2 linked regions of the Anolis sagrei genome follow. The protein of the gene in region 1 purifies or fractionates together with the protein of each later gene. This does not show direct contact. Links are inferred from orthologs where the notes say so. Each region holds a gene or a part of one and is shown on either strand. Other genes may lie near its edges.

Evidence for each region.
Region 2: the proteins of NDUFAF4 (region 1) and NDUFS2 purify together in Homo sapiens (co-immunoprecipitation; 3 studies listed by BioGRID and IntAct, with this or other methods). This does not show direct contact. The link is inferred for Anolis sagrei from reciprocal best matches to the Homo sapiens genes NDUFAF4 and NDUFS2.

The regions. Positions count from the first base shown.
Region 1 is NC_090021.1:100,929,386-100,940,347, forward strand, and holds the start of NDUFAF4 (NADH dehydrogenase [ubiquinone] 1 alpha subcomplex assembly factor 4), read left to right. Parts: upstream 1-6,880; 5' UTR 6,881-6,928; coding exon 6,929-7,064; intron 7,065-10,962. UniProt on the Homo sapiens protein: Involved in the assembly of mitochondrial NADH:ubiquinone oxidoreductase complex (complex I). May be involved in cell proliferation and survival of hormone-dependent tumor cells. May be a regulator of breast tumor cell invasion.
Region 2 is NC_090032.1:14,680,437-14,691,488, forward strand, and holds the start of NDUFS2 (NADH dehydrogenase [ubiquinone] iron-sulfur protein 2, mitochondrial), read left to right. Parts: upstream 1-6,799; 5' UTR 6,800-6,834; coding exon 6,835-6,920; intron 6,921-11,052. Other genes in the region: UQCRQ (cytochrome b-c1 complex subunit 8), read right to left, coding at 4,220-4,373. UniProt on the Homo sapiens protein: Core subunit of the mitochondrial membrane respiratory chain NADH dehydrogenase (Complex I) which catalyzes electron transfer from NADH through the respiratory chain, using ubiquinone as an electron acceptor. Essential for the catalytic activity of complex I.

The sequences.
Region 1 (10,962 bases):
GTCACTTGAGACTGCAGAGGAAGAAAAGAAGGGCAGTAGCTGTTGGACTTCATCCCCTTCCTCACCACCTTCCCCTTTTTCCTTTGTGATCTTTTTGAATAATAAGAAGTTTTTAAGTCTAAGGACAGGGGATCAGAACTTTCTTTGGTAGATGTCTTATAAGTGCCATATACAGTGATGGTGCTATATAAATAAATTGATATGATAATTATGAGAGAAGACAATATTCTGTCTAGGACTGATCACTAAGCATGTGAATGAACACTTGTTAAATATCTGTTGATACAGATGCGATGGATAGAACATAATTTATGAGTAATTGTACTGTGGCCAGCAACGTTATGATGAATTGCAGGCTTATTTCTTCAGACATAATTTTGTATGTTGTACTAACACATAGCCTCAAGGATTGTTGTGCCTGTTGAGGGTACACACACTCATTTCTTATTCACCAGCCATCTTTGCTCTTTCCAGTGGAAGTATCCCACAAGGAGCATCTCTCAAAGAGAACAGTCATTTTCTTTATAGAAGCATGGTTATATAACTCAGCCTTGGAATCTGCCTCAGGCCATTCATCCCTTGTGAGTAGATTGACACAACAACTTATCAAAAATGACCAGCTTCCCGCTTATGTTTTACAAGCAAGGTAAAACTCTCCAGCCCTATCCTGCCATATCACCACAAGCCTATAAGAATTTCATACCAGTTGTGCAGTACATTGCTTTAGAATACAAATGCAGTTTGTAATATACTTAAATACAGATTTTGTTTTTAGTTTGAAATGGCAGGTAAAATGAACCATTCCCTAGTGTTTTGTGGTATTTATAAGTAATGCAAGTTTGTTCTCATAAGAAAAGCAGAAGGATGATTGAAAATATTGCAGCCCATGGCAGAAGAGCTGCTGCTTGCACATAGTGATCTTAGGTGAGGACTCAATCTTTTCCTCATCATTCTTTGATCAAAGGTGTGTGCTATAGATAACTTTCCAGGGTCACTTATTCTTATTCATTCATTGCATTTTTATCTTAATCCTCCAAGGTGCTTAAGTTTTGCGTTATGTTACTTTGTTTCTGCAGGAATATTTAGAATCTATATTAAGCAGCGTACAGCAGGACTATTGCTATGTGAACATGTATTTATTTATTTACTCCATTTATATGCTGCTTTTCTCAGCCCTGTAGCCAAAATGGAGCCATTACTCAAGATGCTTTCATACGATAAAAAGAAAACTTAGTTCATTTTTTTCAGGAAATTAGTCTTCGGTAGGAAAGGAGACAGATTAAAGAAGTCAGCCCATACTTGGGCACAAGAGCCCCTAATGCAGAGACAACCTAGAAGACAATATAACCGTTGGAGCCTCGTGGATGCTCTCATTCAAGTCAGAAGGAAACACTAACTTATTGGAGAAAGTGACTTTAACGAGCAAGTCCCCTCTCCCACTAATCAATTTATATAAGCATAGATCCCTCGTAGTTTCCAGCACTTTTCACATGGATAACAGGGTTGCAATAATGTTTGTGATGCTGCTGCTGCTAACACAGCTATGACAAAAATCCTGTTCAGTGTCACTGACATGGGAGGAGAGTCTCTTGATTCTACAGTACCTGTAACCAGCAAGGATCACTGCTTCTCTGTTGCTAAGAATAATGGTAAACCAAATCCTAGGTGGATTTGCTAGGGATCTGGATTCCATACCAAGTTCTCTTCCAATGCATGGAAGCCCAGTTCTCTTTTTGGGATCAAATAAGCAAAACAGGCATTTAGCAGTTCTGTCCTTTTGCTATAATTTGTTAGCATTTTAACATCCTTGGATAGTGCCATCCTTGGCTATTCTCTTGCTTCAAACATACTTCAACCCTCACTTCACGTTACTTCCTGTTTCCCTAGTTGGACTCAGCTCATTTTGAGCTTTATATTTCTGTACACGATTCCTACAAGTTTAGGCTATATGTATTCTCTGTTTTGTCCTTCCTTCCATTCTTTATATTTTTTTTCTTTTTTTACTTCTTGAGTTTACATTGGCTTTTTCAGATGTTTCCCATTTTTCTTCTTTCTTGAAATTGTTTGCTATTGTGCTTTTTGGAACCCCTTCTTCATAAAATTCTACTCATTGTGGTTGCTTGTTTTCTTTAGCATCTCATTGATTTTACTTCATAAAATCGGCTTCCTGGAAATCCAAAGTGCTTTTTGCGATGATATTGATACCCACATGAATAAGAAAAAAAGGGTGTGATCTGTGATCAGCTTTAACACATTGTTAGTAACATCCCAAATGCATGCACTAAAGAGACAGCACGCCTCCTGATTCATCTTCTCAGGCTGACACACAGGTTCCTCTATACCAGGCATGGACATACTTCAGCCCTCCAAGTGTTTGGATTTCAACTCCCACAATTCCCAATATCTGGTAAGCTAAATAGGATTTCTGGAAGTTGAAGTCTAAAACACAGGGAGGGCAGAAATTAGACCATGCCTGATCTATACTATACCATGGAGCAATGAGTTCCCTATCACCAGCACATTTCTTTTTTGCTGCAGTCAGACCTTAAGTTGACTTTCTTCTCGGATTGCAGCATCACTTGTTGCTAATTTCCTGCTTAGAGAACTTCATCATTATGATATTCAGGAAGATGTAGAAAGCGATTGCTTTGTTGGAGTTGGACTGAATCTCGGGTATAGTCTGGTCCTGACGGTGACTGTCCTCCAGTCATTCTTCCTTAATGCTATCATCCTCTTGATTTTCCTTGGCAGTTTCTTCCTATTGATTCTGTAAAAGCAATTCTGTGAAGTCCTTGTGGTCTCTGGTGCTCTAAAGCAGTGTTTCTCAAACTCTGCTCCTCCAGGTATTTTACACTTCAGCTCCCAGAAATCCCAGTCAGCCTACCTGCTGTTGGGAACTGTGGGAGCTGAAGTACAAAACATCTAAAGGAGCACAGTTTGAGAAACTCTGCTCTAAAGAGTGTTAATACATTGCTGAAACAGGTTGACCTTGTCTTCCAAGAAAGTCACCAATTGTACTTGCTGCAAGTGTAGTCGGGGAGGTTTTCTGGCAAGAAAATAAATATCACACACACATTGTAACAGGCCATTATAAAGCAGTTAGTTTTTCTTCTCTTTGAGACTATAATAGCTCTTTGGAATATAACCACACACTGTAAAATGCATGCTGCTAGCTTGTTTCCTCACCTATTCTGCCTTTCTGCTCATGAGAACTTTAGCAAAGTCTACTGGGAAAGATATGTTAATGAGATAGGAAAATAGGAACAAGAGGAAATAAAATAAAGAATGAAAAAAATAAGAAAAAAATCACGTTATTAATGAGACCTGAGGATGAATGATATTTGCACCACACTTTTTGTCAATAATGACGCAACCCACACAAACTTTAATCCTGCAAACTGTACTTCAGCTTCCACTGTTCATAGTAGGAAGAGGAAGGTAAAACTGAGAAAGTCACGCTATATGCTCATGTCTTAAGTTTAGAAAGTTTCATCATAAAATCAAACCCAAAAAATGGATCATTTTTTCCACAGGTCAATGTAGGTGATACATATCAAAAAAGGAACCACACCTTTCACTGAGTAAAGTGGTGAAAAGCCAAAGCATAATTCGGGCTGTCTTCACTACAAACATCGTTGCATTTTCACCAAAGTATGTACCACAATTCCATTTCAAAAGCCATTTATTTTAAAAGCTTCCCTTTTCAACCCTAAATCACATTTTCTGAATTATTGAAATTACATGATGATCCACATGGGGGCCCTTCTGCAATGTTCCCAAACACAAACAAAAATTTTGCTTCTTAGAGAGATGGCCTTTATAGAAATCACTAAGGCAATGTAGATGCCCTCTGAGAAAGGTCTCTCAGAATCTAGGTCCTCCAATGCAGTTGTAAGGTTAGCTTCCTCAGAAGTTGACCACAGAGTCATGCTGTAAGAACTAGACATTTCTAGAGAGGTATTTTCTCAGAAGAAAAAAATACAAATGTCTTTATTTGGAGAGCTTACTGTATAATGACAAGTCAACATGTATGTAAATACTGTTGGTTCCATGGATAATTTTATTTATTTATTTATTTGTGGTATTTGTATACAGTTCTTCTTAACCCCGAAAGGGACTCAGGGCAGTTCACAGTTTGCTCTACTGGGGACTAAAAATAGGTATGAAGCCCAATTTAACATCATGGCAAGGATCTGACAAAACTGACAAAAAATAGGGGTCCTCAAACTGTTGGGGGCCAGACTATAGTTTGAAAAAAACATGAACAAATTCCTCTGCACACTGCACATATCTTATTTGTAGTGCAAAACAAACAAACAACAATACAATACTTAAAATGAAGAGCAATTTTAACCAACATAAACTTACCAGCATTTCAATGGGAAGGGTGGGTCTGCTTTTGAGAGAGTCAAGTTTATTAGGATTGTTGTTGTTGTGTGCCTTTAAGTTGTTTCAGATCTAGAGCAACCCTAAGGCTAAAGTTTAGGGCAGGGGCCAGGTAAACGGCGTTGGAGGACCGCATCTGGCCCATAGGTCTTAGTTTGGGTACCTCTGGTCTAAATAAGTCACCATTTATGCATGTAAAGATTGAAAAAAAAAACAGACTTAAAATTATCTGTAGCACTTTCATGCGATGGAGTTTTGATTTACATTTGATTGTTGCTTTATGCTTGTTCTGTATCTGTTTGGGGTAAGTGGAAAAAAAATGTGGTTTTTTTATCCATGTAATTTATTGTATATATTTCATGTTCTTATGTTTTCGACTTTGTTGTATCCCACCTCGAGCCACCGTATTATTATTATTATTATTATTATTATTATTATTATTATTATTATTACACTATGTAACAAAAAAAAATAAATATCTATTTCTGGTTTGAATTTGTTATTTCCTGTTTAATTGTGCGGTACTGACTTTGAAAGCAGTTGTTCTGCTCCAGAAACGTTGTTTTTGTGGCTGAGGGTAGTACTATTATTTTCTTTGGTCTCAGCACTTCATTTGCAATTCTCCTTAACGAAAATAATGCCATTTTTAATTTTTCAATGTTAATTCTGTTTCTACAGACTTCTAAGAGCATACTGCATACTACAGTAGAGCCTCGCTTATAAACGGGCCAGCAGAACGTTGGATAAGCAAAAATGTTGGATAATACGTAGGGATTAAGGAAAAGCCAATTAAATGTCAAATAATCTTATGATTTTACAAATTAAGCACCAAAACATTATGTTTTACAACAAATTGACAGAAAAAGCAGTTCAATACACGGTAATATTATGTAGTAATTACTGTACTTACAGATTTAGCATCAAAACATCGCAATGTGGATCTGGACGGTAGGCAGAATGCATTGGATAGTACAGAATGTTGGATGAGGGAAGGTTGGATAAGCCGGACTCTACTGTACTTCTAAAATGGAGTCTGAGTCCTGAACATGCCCAGATCTGGTCACATGGTCTGCAGCCCCTCCCACAATATAGTTAAGGAAAACTGTATATCGGTGTTTCTCAATCTTCCTAATGCTGCGACCCCTTAATAGAGTTCCTCATGTTGTGGTAACCCCCAACAATAAAATTATTTATGTTGCTACTTCATAACTGTAATCTTCCTACTGCTATGAATCATAATGTAAATATCTGATACACGGGATGTATTTTCATTCACTGGACTAAATTGTGCAACAAATATCCGAAACGCCCAAATTTGAATACTGGTGGAGGTTTGATTTTGTCATTTAGGAGTTGTAGTTGCTGGGATTTATAGTTCACTTACAATCAAAGAGCATTCTGAACTCCACCAATCATGGAATTGAACCAAACTGGCTGAGTTTAGGGAAAACAGACCTTGACATTTGACAGTTGTAGTTGCTGGGATTTATAGTTCACCTACAATCAAAGAATTCAACCAAACTCAGCACATAGAACTCGCATGACCAACAGAAAATACTGGATAGGTATGGTGGGCATTGACCTTGAGTTTGGGAGTTGTAGTTTACCTACATCCAGAGAGCACTGTGGACTCAGATAATGATGGAGCTGGACCAAACTTGGCACAGATACTCAATATGCCGAAATGTGAACACTGGCGGAGTTTAGAGAAAACAGACCTTGACATTTGGCAGTTGTAGTTGCTGGGATTTATAGTTCACCTAGCATTCTGAACCCCACCAATGATAGAATTGAACCAAACTTGGCACATAGAACTCCCATGACCAACAGAAAATACTGGCATTGTCCTTGAGTTTGGGAGTTGTAGTTCACCTACATCCAGAGAGCACTGTGGACTCAGACAATGATGGATCTGGACCAAACTTGGCACAAATACTCCATATGGCCAAATGTGAACACTGGTGGTGTTTGGGGGAAATAGACCTTGACATTTGAGAGTTGCAGTTTCTGGGATTTATAGTTCACCGACAATCAAATAGCATTCTGAACCCCACCAACAATAGAATTGGACCAAACTTCCTACACAGAATCCCTATGACCAATAGAAAATACTGTGTTTTTTATGGTCCTTGGCGACACCCCCTGCCCCCCCCCCCCCATGACCCCAACAAAGGTCCCGACCCCCAGACTGAGAAATGCTGCTGTATACCAACAAACATATACAATAGAGTAAGCAATTCAAATTATATACATAACAAATGACTAGTATAGGAGGCTGGAAGAAGGTTGCAATTTCCAATAAGGCAGAGGAGGCTAAAGACCGTGCACAACTACAACTCCCAGCATTTCATAGTATTGAGAGCAGTCCAAAATCATTCTCCTGGCTGCTGTAATAGATAGAGCCTGTCTGTGGCTCGGCCTCCGACCGCTAGGCGTCGCCCGAGAGCCTCAATGCGCACAGAAGCAGAGAAGGAGGAGGAAGAGGAGGAGCCCTTTGGAGGCAGGAAGGAAGGGGCGTGGCCGGCGTTGTCCCGGGACCGGGATGATGGGCGCGAGGGTGAGCCGCGTGCTCGGCCAGTTCAACCTGGAGAGCCGCGCGCACCGCGAGATCGGGAAGGCCAAGCCCGCGCCCGCCCCCAGGCACCCCCTCCCCGCCGCCGCCGCCAAGCAGCAGCCAAGTGAGTCACGCTGAGGGAGGTTGAGGCCCTCCAGGTGTTTTGGACTTCAACTCCCACAATTCCTAACAGCCGGTAGGCTGTTAGGAATTGTGGGAGTTGGAGTCCAAAACACCTGGAGGGCCCAAGCCTGGTGTAGGTAGATTCAGCAGCTCTGCAGAGTGAGTTGGCACTTGGATTTCTGCACTGTTTCTTTTTCTCTCCCTTTGCTTTGACTGTGCATGCAATAGGTAATGAATTGCAAACAAGCCTACATCTACACTGCATCATTAATGCAGTTTGACCCCTCCTCCTGAACTGCCAAGGCTGAATGCAGTAGAATTAACCGAGCTGCAGTTTTTCAAGGTCTTTGGCCATCATTGTGTCCCATTCTGGGCACCACAATTGAAGGGAGATGTTGACAAGCTGGAATGTGTCCAGAGGAGGATGACTAAAATGATCAAGGGTCTGGAGAGCAATCCCTATGAGGAGCGGCTTAAAGAGCTGGGCATGTTTAGCCTGAAGAAGAGAAGGCTGAGAGGAGATATGATAGCCATGTATAGGGAGGAGGGAGCAAGTTTGTTTTCTGCTTCCCTGGAGACTAGGACACAGAACAATGGCTTCAAACTACAAGAAAGGAGATTCCACCTGAACATTAGGAAGAACTTCCTAACTGTGAGAGCTGTTCAGCAGTGGAACTCTCTGCCCCAGAGTGTGGTGGAGGCTCCTTCTTTGAAAGCTTTTAAACAGAGGCTGGATGGTCAGGGGTGCTTTGAATGCAATATTCCTGTTTCTTGGCAGGGATGGCCCATGAGGTCTCTTCCAACTCTATGATTCCATTGTTGCCTCCGCAAACTACAACTCCCAGCATCCCCTTAGGAGGGGGCCATAATTGTTAAAGTGTCATCCTGTATTCATTCTTCACACATATACATCACACTAGAGAATAAATCCACTCTAAATCCAGTTTCTGCTCATACAGAATTCTGGGGTTTGTATTTTAGTGAGGCTGTTAAATGCTCCTCCATAAACTGCAAACCCCAGAATTCTTCAGCAACCGGATTTAAAGTGGATTCATTCTATAGTGTGATGAGGCCAATTGATCATCCACACAGTCCACATTTTCACTATGGGTTACTGCTAGGTTGAAGCCAACTTCAGTGCCTTTAATGGGGGCTTCTGTGCCTTTAAGAGGAGGGCATTTCAGTCAGTGTACCTTGAAACACTGAGGTTGACTTTCCAACACAAATATTAAAGGTATGTGGGCCATTTCCAGTTTTTATAATGGCAACCCTACTGGTTTGTGTGAAGGTGATTGCATAGGGAAGGGAGGTGGCCATATTGGCAGGGTAGAAAATCCTTTTGACATTGAAGTTTTCCTTTTGGTGTCCAAGATCTTCTGGAAGCAATGCTGCCCTTTGCCCCTCCCCTTTCCCTGCCTAAGGCCCATTGCAAAGCGCATGCGTCATTGAAGGAGAGATTTGCAGGCTGGGAGTTGTGGTCTGAGAGCCATCTGCAGCTATTTCCATCAGTTACAGGCAGTCCCGGAGTCAGGCCCGTAGCCAGGATTTTAATTCAGGGGTGGGGGTGGGCTGAGTTTGATTGAGGGTGGATGAGGATCTATCCTAGCAAACCTTTTGTATCGTTATCCCAATACCACCATTCACATGGGATATATTGAGCATGGTGATCAGATCATGATATGAATAAACATAACAGTTTAAATAATGTACCAGTAAGGCCTTCTCGCGAACCACCATGAGAATTTGGGGGGGAGGGAGGCTGAAGCCCCTCAGCCCCCCCCCCACATGCCTGCCCAGAGTGTTCAGTCTTTCCAAATTTTGGGATAGATGACTTGCATCTATTCAGTAGATGGATGCAACTAACTATGTGCAGCAAGTCCCCAAGTTACAAACATCTGACTTACAAATTACTCATAGTTAAGAACGGGGTGAGACAAAAGGAAGTGAGAGAAATCTACCCCTTGGAAGGGAAATTCAGTCCTGAAAGAATTTGAATGGGGAAAAGGTGTCTCAGCTAAACCTTGGAAGAAACCTCGTGGGCCATCCAGTCCAACCCCCTGTCAAGATCAGCAAAATCACATTCAAAGTACCTCTGAGAGATGGCCATCCAGCCTCTGTTAAAAAGCCTCCAAAGAAGGAGATTCCACCACACTCTGGGGCAGAGAGTTCCACGGCTGAACAGCACTCACAGTCAGGAAATTCTTCCTAATGTTCAGGTAAAATGTCCTTTCCCGTAGTTTGAAGACGTCCTAGGGCCCTTCCACACAGCCCTTAATCCCAGAATATCAAGGCTGAAAATCCCACAATATTTGCTTTGAAATGAGTTATCTGAGTCCACACTCAGATAATGTGGGATTTCCTGCCTTGATATTCTTGGATATAGGGCTGTGTGGAAGGGCCCCCAGAACCTATCTTGCTTGTAACTTGCTCTCTAAGCTCCAGCATCCTGTCCTCTCCATACATACCCACCATATGCTTTTTTTATCCTGCTGCTTTCTTTTTTGTAATCATTGCACAAATCTTATTGTAAAGTCCGTATTAATTATAAATCTGGTCATTCAGGACATCTGTGAATTTACTCAATTCAGTAGATCTACTCTTAAATGAGGCTTGCAATTCCCGATATTTTACAGATTTTTAGATCTTTTCCAAATGAAAGAAGGAGTTTGTACAGGGCTCTCTAAGGAATTGGCTGCTCTCCCTAGTTAGTAAAAACATCAACAACAAAGTAAAATCACTAGAGAATATAAAAATGTGGATGTCTTATTCAGCCAGGATAATAAACCCTCTATTTATTTTGTTATGTCTTTTAATTTAATAAAATATTTATTTCTCACTGTGCATCTCACTACTTCAGGGCAGCGTACAAATACGATAAGTGGTAGGAAGCAATGTAACAATTTCAGAAGTGTAAAACCACCAAATAGTTTGCACATTTTAAAGCTATGGGGACAGAATGAGGGAACGTATATCCAGGATGGAAATGTCATGAATAAGTGGTTGAAGAAGAAACATTTATTACTAGGCGATCTAGCAAAATTTAATTTTGATGGACCTAGTTATGGCCAGAGGGGAAATTATATGGCTTTTCTGCTAACCCTCTGATCAGTTATTCTCTTTCATGCCTTCTCTGTCGTTCTGGCCTCTCAAAATGACCGTGGCTGGATCTACACTGCCATATAATCCAGTTTCTGAATCCAGATCGCCTCCTTTGAACTGGTTGTATGAGTCTACACTGCCATATAATCCAATTCGAAGCAGATAATCTGGATTCAGAAACTGGATTATAAGGAGGTGATGAAGGGACCTTTGTAAAAAACTTTGAAACTGCCAACAGTCCAGTGAAGAACAATTTGTGTGTATGATTAGAGTATGAATAAATGTGAAATTCAAAACCAATGCTCCAAATGGTGCTATATTAGGGGAGGTGTGTGTTGTTAACAAGACTTCTGAAAATGGCATTGTACTGATTTAGTTACACTGCCTCTATTTATATGAACTTGTTTGTGTCATATATCTTCAAGTAACTTCCAAATTTACAGTAACCCTAGAGTGATCAAACCAGAGGGTTTTTTTCACTGTATGTGTGCCCTTGCCTTCTTCTAAGGCCCCTTCTGCACTGCCATATAAAATCCAGGTTATCTGATTTGAACTGGATTATATGCCAGTATAGACTCATATAACCCAATTCAAAGTAGATAATGTGGTTTTTCTGATTTGATAATCTGGATTATATGACAGCATAGAAGGGGCCTTTGGCTATTTATTAATCGTGTCAGAAGCAATATGAGGGTACAGTTATAATGTATTTAAAAAAGATCACAAACAAAGTTAAAAACTTGGCATTATACTAGATATCCACTTGGAGTGCCTCTGGTGTCGCTGTGAGAAGGCCCTTC
Region 2 (11,052 bases), on another chromosome or scaffold:
TGCGTAGAGGTGGCACCCAACTCCAAAACTCTGGATGACCTCTCCCAGCAGTTTCATGTAGATATTAAAAAGCATGGGAGACAGAATGGAGCCCTGCGGAACCCCACAGGTCAAGGGCCTGGGGTCCGAGCAGGCATCTCCCAGCTTCACCAACTGGGATTGACCCTCCAGGAAGGATCGGAGCCACAACAAAACCGTGCCCCCGAGACCCATCCCAGAGAGACGACCCAGAAGGATAATACTATCAACAATAATAATACTATCAACAAAACCTAAATTAAAAAATGTGTTCCTGGTTGGAAAGTGTTGTTTCCTGTGTAACTGTGTGATCCTTAATTGAAAGTAGTTGGTATCCTTCAGAAACTTCATTTTTGTGGCTGCCACGAACTACCGTATATACTTGAGTATAAACCAACACGAATATAACCCGAGGCACCTAATTTTACCACAAAAAAAAACGGAGACAACGGATTGACTCGAGTACAAGCCGAGGGAGGGAAATGCAGCCACTACGGGTAAATTGCAAAATAAAAATAGATACCAATTAAATTACATTCATTGAGGAATCAATAGGTTATATATTTTTAAGTATTTACAAAAATGGTAATTTAAGATAAGACTGTCCAACTTTGAATAAATGATTATTTACCTTCATCAATGTAAATGTGCTTACGCATCCTTCCAATAATAATAATAGAGTAATATAATAAATGTAATAACAACAATAATAAAAAGAGTAAAATAATGAATGTAGCAATAACAACAATTATACAGTAAACAACAATACAGTAAAATAATAAATGTATAATAATAGAGTAAAATGATAAATGTAATAATGATAAATAGAATAAAATAATAAATAAAATGAAAATAATGATAATAATAATAATAACAACAACAGCGTAAAATAATAAATAACCTTGACTTGAGTATAAGCCGAGGGGGACTTTTTCAGCCTAAAAAAGGGCTGAAAAATTAGGCTTATACACAAGTATATACAGTATGTTGAATTAGTTGATATTCCTTGAAAATCTAAAGCAAAACGTGCTGCAGGATTTCTATCGTGCCCCATGAAGACCCTCACTGTTTACCCCTAGTTAAGCCCTTCTTAGTTAGGGGGATTAATATTTTATGCAGTTTCTGGGGGTCAGTCTAGACCTCTGGAGTAGAGCCTCAGGCAAGGCACTTCAGGTTCTTGGAAGAGTCGGCCTTTTTGTGACTGAAAGGTGATGAGAGAAAGGCTGGAAGGCCAACAAATAGCACGTCCAGTCAGAACTGTATGAGTTGTATTCAAGTTCCGTCAGAGTTAAATATTGAGACCATCTTAGAGACAGCTGAACACCATACAAGAAAGAGACAATAATAATAAATAAAGATTCAAGAGCCTCAGTTCGTGAGCTGTGTCTGTCTCTCAAAGACTTTATTGTAATGTTATTTTGTTATTGTATTTTTTTCATGTAATTTTGATGATGTTGTTTATGTTTTGGTTTTATTTTGATATAATATGTTGTTTGGGCTTGTAAGTTTCCCCATGTTTCTCTGAGTCCCCATCGGGAAGATGGTGGCGGGGTATAAATAAAGTCTATTATTATTATTATTATTATTATTATTAGTATTATTATTATTATTATTTACCTCTCCTCACAAAGACTTTGTAGTGAGACTGAGGAGGACAGAAGGTATACAACTCTTATCAGTAAATAAATTCTTGTTTTGATTCTATATAGTCTCTCTGCCTCTTTCTCTCCTTCCTTCACTCTTTGCTTCCATGCTTCCTTCTCTCTTTCCTTCTTTCCCTCCCTCCTTCTCTCTGTCTTTCTTTCTCTCCTTCCTTCCTTCTCTATCTCTTTCCTTCTTTTCCCCCTTTTTCTTTTCCTATTTCTTTCTCTCCTTCCTTCCATTGCTCTTTGCTTCCATGCTTCCTTCTCTCTTTTCTTCTTTCTTGCCCTCCCATTTTCTTTTTCTTTCTACCTTTATTCCTCTCTACCTCTCTCCTTCCTTCTCTCTTTGCTTCCATGCTTCCTTCTCTCTTTCCTTCTTTCTTTCCCTCCCTCCCTCCTTCTCTCTCTCTTTCTTTCTCCCCTTCCTTCCTGCCCTCCCTCTTCCTTCCCTATTTTCATCATTTAGCTTTTTGTCATTTAGCTTTATGGGGTTTTAAAGTCCTTCCTGCTGTTTTTTGGGGGGATTTTAGTAGTGATGGTCACTTGTTGGTCTGTTAGGGGTATAGTGTCCAAATTTCATGTCAATTCATCCAGTGGTTTTTGAGTTATGTTAATCCCACAAACTAACATTACATTTTTATTTATATAGATATAGAACCAATGTGCTTTTCATTCTGAGGTATTTTGTTTGTTTGTTTTTTGCTGGGAGGAGGGGAAATTTCAACCACGCGTTGCTGTGGCCAACCTTTCCTCCATCTTTCTCCCCTTCTTTCCTTCCTTCCTTCCCTTTTCTTCTCTCCTTTCTTCCTTCTCTACCTCTTTTCTCCTTCCTTCACTTTTTGCTTCCATCCTTCCTTCTCTCTTTCCTTTCATCCCTCTTTCTCTCCTTCCTTCCTTCTCTACCTCTTTCCTTCCTTTTTCTTTTCCTACTTATTTCTCTCCTTCCTTCCTTTGCTTGTTGCTTCCATGCTTCCTTCTCTCTTTTCTTCTTTCTTGCCCTCCCACTTTCTCTTCTATTTTCTTTCTACCTTTCTTCCTCTCTCCCTCTTTCTCTCCTTCCTTCACTCTTTGCCTCCATGCTTCCTTCTCTCTTTCCTTCTTTCTTTCTTTCCCTCCCTCCCTCCTTCTCTCTCTCTTTCTTTCTCCTTCCTCCCTTCTCTACCTCTTTCCTTCCTTTCCCTCCTTTTTCTTTTCCTACTTCTTTCTCTCCTTCCTTCCTTTGCTCTTTGCTTCCATGCTTCCTTCTCTCTTTTCTTCTTTCTTGCCCTCCCACTTTCTCATCTTCTTTCTTTTTTCTTTCTACCTCTCTTCCTCTCTACCTCTTTCTCTCCTTCCTTCACTCTTTGCTTCCATGCTTCCTTCTCTTTTTCCTTCTTTCTTTCCCTCCCTCCTTCTCTCTCTCTCTTTCTTTCTCCTTCCTTCCTTCTCTCTTTCCTTCCTTTCCCTCCTTTTTCTTTTCCTACTTCTTTCTCTCCTTCCTTCCTTTGCTCTTTGCTTCCATGCTTCCTTCTCTCTTTTCTTCTTTCTTGCCCTCCCACTTTCTCATCTTCTTTCTTTTTTCTTTCTTCCTCTCTACTTGTCTCTCCTTCCTTCACTCTTTGCTTCCATGCTTCCTTCTCTCTTTCCTTCTTTCATTCTTTCCCTCCCTCCTTCTCTCTCTTTCTTTCTCTCCTTCCTTCTCTACCTCTTTCCTTCCTTTCCCTCCTTTTTCTTTTCCTACTTCTTTCTCTCCTTCCTTCCTTTGCTCTTTGCTTCCATTCTTCCTTCTCTCTTTTCTTCTTTCTTGCCCTCCCACTTTCTCCTCTTCTTTCTTTTTTCTACCTTCCCCTCTACTTCTTTCTCTCCTTCCTTCACTCTTTGCTTCCATGTTTCCTTCTCTCTTTCCTTCTCTCTTTCCCCCTCCTTCTCTCTCTTTTTTCTCTTCTTCCTTCTCTATCTCTTTCCTTCCTTTCCCTCCTTTTTCTTTTCCTACTTTTCTTTCCTTCCTTCCTTTGCTCTTTGTTTCCATGCTTCCTTCTCTCTTTTCCTTTTTCTTGCCCTCCCACTTTCTCCTCTTCTTTCTTCTTTCTTTCTACCTTTCTTCCTCTCTACCTCTTTCTCTCCTTCCTTTACTCTTTGCTTCTATGCTTCCTTCTCTTTTTCCTTCTTTTTTTCCCTCCCTCCTTCTCTCTCTCTCTTTCTTTCTCCCCTCCTTCCTTCCCTCCCTCTTCCTTCCCTTTTTTCATCATTTAGCTTTTTGTCATTTAGCATTATAGGGTTTTAAAGTCCTTTCTGCTGTTTTTTGGGGGGATTTTAGGAGTGATGGTCACTCGTTGGTCTGTTAGGGGTTTAGTGTCCAAATTTCATGTCAATTTGTCCAGTGGTTTTTGAGTTCTGTTAATACCACAAACGAATATTACATTTTTATTTATATAGATATAGAACCAATGTGCTTTTTGTTCTGAGGTATTTTGTTTGTTTGTTTTTTGCTGGGAGGAGGAGAAATTTCAATGGAAATTAACATTTGCACAAAGAGCTGTGCAACAAATGGAAGAAGCGAGCCAATGTTTTTCACTTACGAGGAGCCACACGCAAGACCTGGGAGCTGAATCGCCTCCAGACGTTGAGAATCCCTTTTGAGAAGTAGTTGGGGAAAGCCCTCTGCTCAAAGGGAGACAAGCTGTAAGTGATCACGTGCCGCATCCGTTCCAGGTTCCCAAAATGGCCACCCATCTTGGCAGGTTGCTCTGAAAAAGTACAAAAAGGAATGAGCAAAACAGTTGAACTGGCAAACCCTTGAGAATGAGTGACAGGCAAGATAAGCCTGGCACGGATATCCCTGTAGAACGGGCACTGAAGGAGCACATGTTCTATTGTTTCTACATGACCCAAGTCACAAGGGCAGAGTCACTCATTAACAGAACTCAAAAACCACTGGACGAATTGACACCAAATTTGGACACAAGACACCTAACAACCCAATGTATGTCCTTCACTCAAAAAATGATTTTGTCTTTTGGGAGTTGTAGTTGCTGGGATTTATAGTTCATTTACAATCAAAGAGCATTCTCAAGGCTGAGAGGAGACATAATAGCCATGTATAAATACGTGAGAGGAAGTCACAGGGAGGAGAGAGCAAGCTTGTTTTCTGATGCCATGGAGACTAGGATGCAATGGAACAATGGCTTCAAACTACAAGAAAGGAGATTCCATCTGAACATTAGGAATAACTTCCTGAGTGTGAGAACCGTTCAGCAGTGGAACTCTCTGTCTCAGAGTGTGGTGGAGGCTCCTTCTTTGGAAGTTTTTAAACAGAGGCTAGATGGCCATCTGTCAGGGGTGCTTTGAATGCAATATTCCTGCTTCTTGGCAGGGGGTTGGCCTGGATGGCCCATGAGGTCTCTTCCAACTCTAGGATTCTATGACTAACAGATAGATAGAACCTGTGGCCTGGTTCCTGCCCAACACAGACCCGGGGGGAACAGATTATCCCCAAATCCCCTTCTATTAGAATAATAGAATCCTAGAGTTGGAAGAGACCTCCTGGGTCATCCATTCCAACCTCATTCTGGCAAGAAGCAGGAAAATCGCATTCAAAGCACCCCCAACAGATGGCCACCCAGCCTCTGCTTAAAAGTCTCCAGGGCAGCAGAAAACAAGCTTTCTCCCTCCTCCCTGTGACTTCCTCTCACATATTTATACATGGCCATCATGTCTCCTCTCAGCCTTCTCTTCTTCAGGCTAAACATGCCCAGCTCCTTAAGTCCAACCCCATTCTGCCAAGAAACAGGAAAATTGCATTCAATAACCCTCAACAGATGACCATCCAGCCTCTGTTTAAAAGCTTCCAAAGAAGGAGCCTCCACCACACTCCGAGGCAGAGAGTTCCACTGCTGAACGGCTCTCACAGTCATAAAGTTCTTCCTAATGTTCAGTTGGAATCTCCTTTCTTGTAGTTTGAAGCCATTGTTCCGCGTCCTAGTCTCCAAGGAAGCAGAAGACAGACAGGAGAGGCCAGGGGACAGCACCATCTTCTCTCCTGCATATGCCATCAGCTGGAGACCCCTCCCCCCAGCACCAACTGTCGCTCTGGGCCGGAGTGAAGAGAGCGGGGGCCACGGGACAGTTCCACCTTGTCTCCTGTGCTATTCTAATAATTTAATATAATATAATATATATTGTATAAACATATAATATTTATAATATTATAATGTAATGCAATATAATACTAATAATAACATATTGTAATTATATATTTATATTACATGTAATATTACTAATATTATTACAATATAATTGGTATAGTACAATACAGTAATATTTAAAACTTATATTGTACTATGCTAATAATATAATATATTGTATGTATATATACCGTGTAAGCCGCTCTGAGTCCCCTTCGGGGTGAGAAGGGTGGCATATAAATGTCGTAAATAAATAAATAAATAAAATAAGCTTGCTCCCTCCTCCCTATGACTTCCCCTCACATATTTATACATGGCTATCATGTCTCCTCTCAGCCTTCTCTTCTTCAGGCTAAACATGCCCAGCTCTTTAAGCCGCTCCTCATAGGGCTTGTTCTCCAGACCCTTGATCATTTTAGTCATAGAATCAAAGAATCAAAGAGTTGGAAGAGACCTCATGGGCCATCCAGTCCAACCCCTGCCAAGAAGCAGGAATATTGCATTCAAATCACCCCTGACAGATGGCCATCCAGCCTCTGCTTAAAAGCTTCCAAAGAAGGAGCCTCCACCTCACTCTGGGGCAGAGAGTTCCACTGCTGAACTGCTCTCACAGTCAGGAAGTTCTTCCTAGTCGCCCTCCTCTTACCAGCCTTACCAACAGCAGCATGTAAAAGATCTATAGGAACCTATGACTATACAGATATTAAGGAACTACAGCTCTCATGATGGATGGGAGTTGTAGTCCAACACCATCGCAGTTTACCCACCCGCCCAGCGTCCTCCAAAAAAAGGTCAGGACTTCTCGCTCCAGACAACAGGAAGAAAACGGAAATGGTTTCCTTTTTCCTAGGCAGTAACGTCACTTCCGACAGAACGAATGGCCATAGAGTCTCAACCGCTGTAGTGGAGCCCTTATGGTTTGGCCTTGCCCACACTAGCAATGGCGGCTTCTGTGCGCGGAAGGGCAAAAGGGAGCATGCGCAGAATCGACGTCCAGCCGTAAAAGCAAGATGGCGGCGCTGAGGTGCCTAGGAAGGCTGCGGACACCTTCAGGGTCATGGCTGCAAGGGATGGCGCTGGGGGCGGCGCCCAGCAGGTATGCTCAGGCTCCCAGTCTTACTGCAACCTCTTCTCTATGGAGGTGCTGTGTCTGCTCGCGAATCCTCTCCCAATAGGGCTTAATCTAGAGTTGGAAGGGACCTCCAAAGGCCATCCAGTCTAACCCCCATCTGCCAGGCAGGAAGGCACAATCCAAGCACTCCCGACAGATGGCCATCCAGCCTCTGCTTAGAAACCTTTAGAGAAGGAGACTCCATTACCACCACCACCGTCATCAAATATGACTAGATATTTATTTATCGTGTCATCAGCAACCATTGTATCACAATTCTAACAGAGCAAAACAAACACACAGATTAAAAAGGAAAAGGAAAAAAAACCCACACAGATTTTGCAAACTTGGTAGCTGATTAAATGTCCTTTGACCAGTATCTGGCCACTTGGAGTGCCTCTGGTGTTGCCGCAAGAAGGTCCTCCATCGTGCATGTGGCAGGTCTCAGGGTGCATTGCAGCAGGTGGTCAGTGGTTTGCTCTTCTCCGCACTCGCATGCCGAGGATTCCACCCTGTAGCCCCATTTCTTAAGACTGGCTCTGCATCTCGTGGTGCCAGAGCACAGTCTGTTCAGCGCCTTCCAAGTCGCCCAGTCTTCTGAGTGCCCAGGGGGGAGTCTCTCATTTGGTATCAGCCATTGGTTTGGGCCTGCCACTTTTGGACTCTCGCTTGCTGGGGTGTTCCAGCGAGTGTCTCTGTAGATCTAAGAAAACTATGTCTAGATTTAAGTCGTTGGCGTGCTGGCTGATACCCAAATAGGGGATGAGCTGGAGATGTCTCTGCCTTGGTCCTTTCACTATTGGCTGCTACTTCCCGGCGGATGTCAGGTGGTGCAATACCGGCTAAGCAGTGTAATTTCTCCAGTGGTGTGGGGCGCAGACACCCCGTGATAATGCGGCACGTCTCATTAAGAGCCACATCTACTGTTTTAGTGTGGTGAGATGTGTTCCACACTGGGCATGCGTACTCAGCAGCAGAGTAGCATAGCGCAAGGGCAGATGTCTTCACTGTGTCTGGTTGTGATCCCCAGGTTGTGCCAGTCAGCTTTCGTATGATGTTGTTTCTAGCGCCCACTTTTTGCTTGATGTTCAGGCAGTGCTTCTTGTAGGTAAGAGCACGGTCCAGAGTGACTCCCAGGTATTTGGGTGCGCTGCAATGCTCCAGTGGGATTCCTTCCCAGGTAATCCTCAGAGCTCGGGATGCTTGTCTGTTCTTAAGGTGAAAGGCGCATATCTGTGTTTTAGATGGATTAGGGTTCAGTTGGTTTTCCCTGTAATAGGCAGTAAGAGCACCTAGAGCTTTGGAAAGCTTCTGTTCTACCATCTCAAAGCTCCCTGCTTGAGCAGTAATGGCACGATCATCAGCATAGATGAAACTCTCTGTCCCTTCTGGGACATGAGAGAAGCCTCCTCGCAGGATTGCAAGACATCCGGGCGTCCCCTGGGCAACGTCTTTTAGACGGCCGATTCTCTCGATCCAGAAGCAACCAGAGACGACTTGCAGCATGACTATGTATAATGATACTGTATAGATGTGTGTACGCACACGCACACACTAGCTGTCCCCTGCCACGCGTTGCTATGGCCCAGTCTGCTGATCTGAAAAATAAAGTAATGAGAAAGTGAAGCCATTGAAATCCACAAGCATGTGGACAGTTTCAACAGAAAGGAGTAAACCATGAAAATGAACAAAATCTAGCTACCAGTATTAAAAAAAAAACTCTAAAATTACAACAGCACAACAACAGAGAGGAAACAAACAAGGACATCTAATCACCTCTCAACAAAGGTTTGCTCCAGGCACAGTCAGGCCATCAAATGCTAATCAAGGTGGTCAGTTGAAACATTCACACCTAGCTCCAGCAGACAAGAGTCCTTTGTCCCACCCTGGTCATTCCACAGATATATAAACCCATTGTTCCTACTTCCAACAGACCTCACTACCTCTAAGGATGCTTGCCATAGATGCAGGCAAAACGTCAGGAGACAATGCCCCTAGACCATGGCCATATAGCCCGAAAAAACCTACAACAACCGAGAAAGTGTTGGTTTCTAATATCTGTAATGTTTTTATGCTTGTGGGTAAACAGTATTTCTTGTTGTTTCTTAGTCAGTGTTGATGTGGAGAGTGTCTGGTTTGCCTGCTCTGGATATACATTGTCCTCCTTTAAGGGTCCCTTTCATACCTATAATACTATATATATCTAGGTTCTTGTAGGTTTTTTTGGGCTATATGGCCATGTTCTGGAGGCAATTTTTCTCCTGACGTTTCGCCCGCATCTATGGCAAGCTTCCTCAGAGGTAGTGAGGTCTGTTGGAAATAGGAAAATGGGTTTATATATCTGTGGAATGGCTGGGGTGGGGCAAAGAGCTCTCTGCTGAAGCTAGGTGTGAATGTTTCAGCTGACCACCTTCATTAGCATTTGAAGGCTTGGCTGAGCCTGGGAAAATGTTCTGTTGAGAGGTGATATATATATCTGTGTTTATCTATCTATCTATATCTATAGCTGGATGGCTCTTTGTCAGGAGGGCTTTGATTACCTTTTCTTGCCCTGGTGAAGAGAGTTGAACTGGATGGGCTTAAGTATTTTCTGTTGGTCATGGGGGTTCTGTGTGGGAAGTTTGCCCCAATTCTGTCGTTGGTGGGGTTCAGAATGCTCTTTGACTGTAGGTGAACTATAAATCCCAGTAACAACAACTCCCAAATGTCAAGATCTATTTCCTCCAAATTCCATCTGTGTTCATATTTAGGCATATGGAATATTCGTGCCAAGTTTGGTCCAGATCCATCATTGTTTGAGTCCACAGTGAGCTTTGGATATCAGGTAACAGGTTGGCAGAAACTGCCATATAATCAATAGTACTATTGGTAACATAAGTATAGGCACCTTGTGTTATGTCGCACTGTGTCCCATTAAGGCAGTGCAATTGATGCAAGGAGAGCATCTCTAAGAAACTCAGATCGGCCTTGTTTCTGATTGTGTCTTGAGAGACTCTGTCAGCAGATGTAACCTGGTCATCTTGTCCGAAGTTAGTGCCTTCCACCTGTTTAACACCCATCCCAATTCTAGCATTAAAATCTCCACACAAGAGGAGCTTTGTGGAGGGGTATTGGCATTCCAAACAGGTGAGGGTTTCAGATAGTCTAAACCAGACATTATTAGGGTCTCCATTTTTTGATAATCTAGGTGGAAAATGGACATTTATACAGATTACATAACCAAAATACGTGCTCTGTATATATTGTGGGATGGAGCTATCCAAAGGTTGAATGTCCACGTGCAGATCTACTGAAATAACGGCCCAACGGTCCATCTATCATTGTTTGAGTCCACAGTGCTCTCTGGATGTAGGTGAACTACAACTCCCAAACTCAAGGTCAATGCCTACCAAACCCTTCTAGTGTTTTCTGTTGGTCATGGGAGTCCTGTGTGCCAATTTTGGTCCAATTCCATCATTGGTGTAGTTCAGAATGCTCTTTGATTGTAGGTGAACTATAAATCCCAGCAACTACAACTCCCAAATGACAAAATCAATTTTTTTTGAGTAGTGGGCACTCCTTGGGTTAGTAGGTGACTTGTGGCCAAATTTGGCAGCAATTTGTTCAGTGGTTTTTGATTTATGTTAATCTCACAAACGGACGTTACATTTTTATTTATATAGATAGCTATATATAAATAACTAGAAAGGAGATTCCATCTGAACATTAGGAAGAACTAGGTTCTTGTGGGTTTTTTCGGGCTATAGAGCCATGTTCTAGAGGCATTTCTCCTGACGTTTCGCCTGCATCTATGGCAAGCATCCTCAGAGGTAGTGAGGTCTGTTGGGATTAGGACAATGGGTTTATATATCTGTGGAATGGCTGGGGTGGGGCAAGGAGCTCTTCCCTGCTGCAGTTAGGTGTGAATGTTTAGCATTTGAAGGCCTGTCTGAGCCTGGGAAAATCTCCTGCTGGGAGGTGTTAATCTGTGCCTGGTTGTTTCCTCTCTGTTGTTTCCTCTCTGTTCTCTTAGGAAGAACTTTCTGACTTTGAGAGCTGTTCAGCAGTGGAACTCTCTGCCCCAGAGTGTGGAAGCTTTTAAAGGCTCTTTCGTTGGAAGCTTTTTAACAGAGCCTGG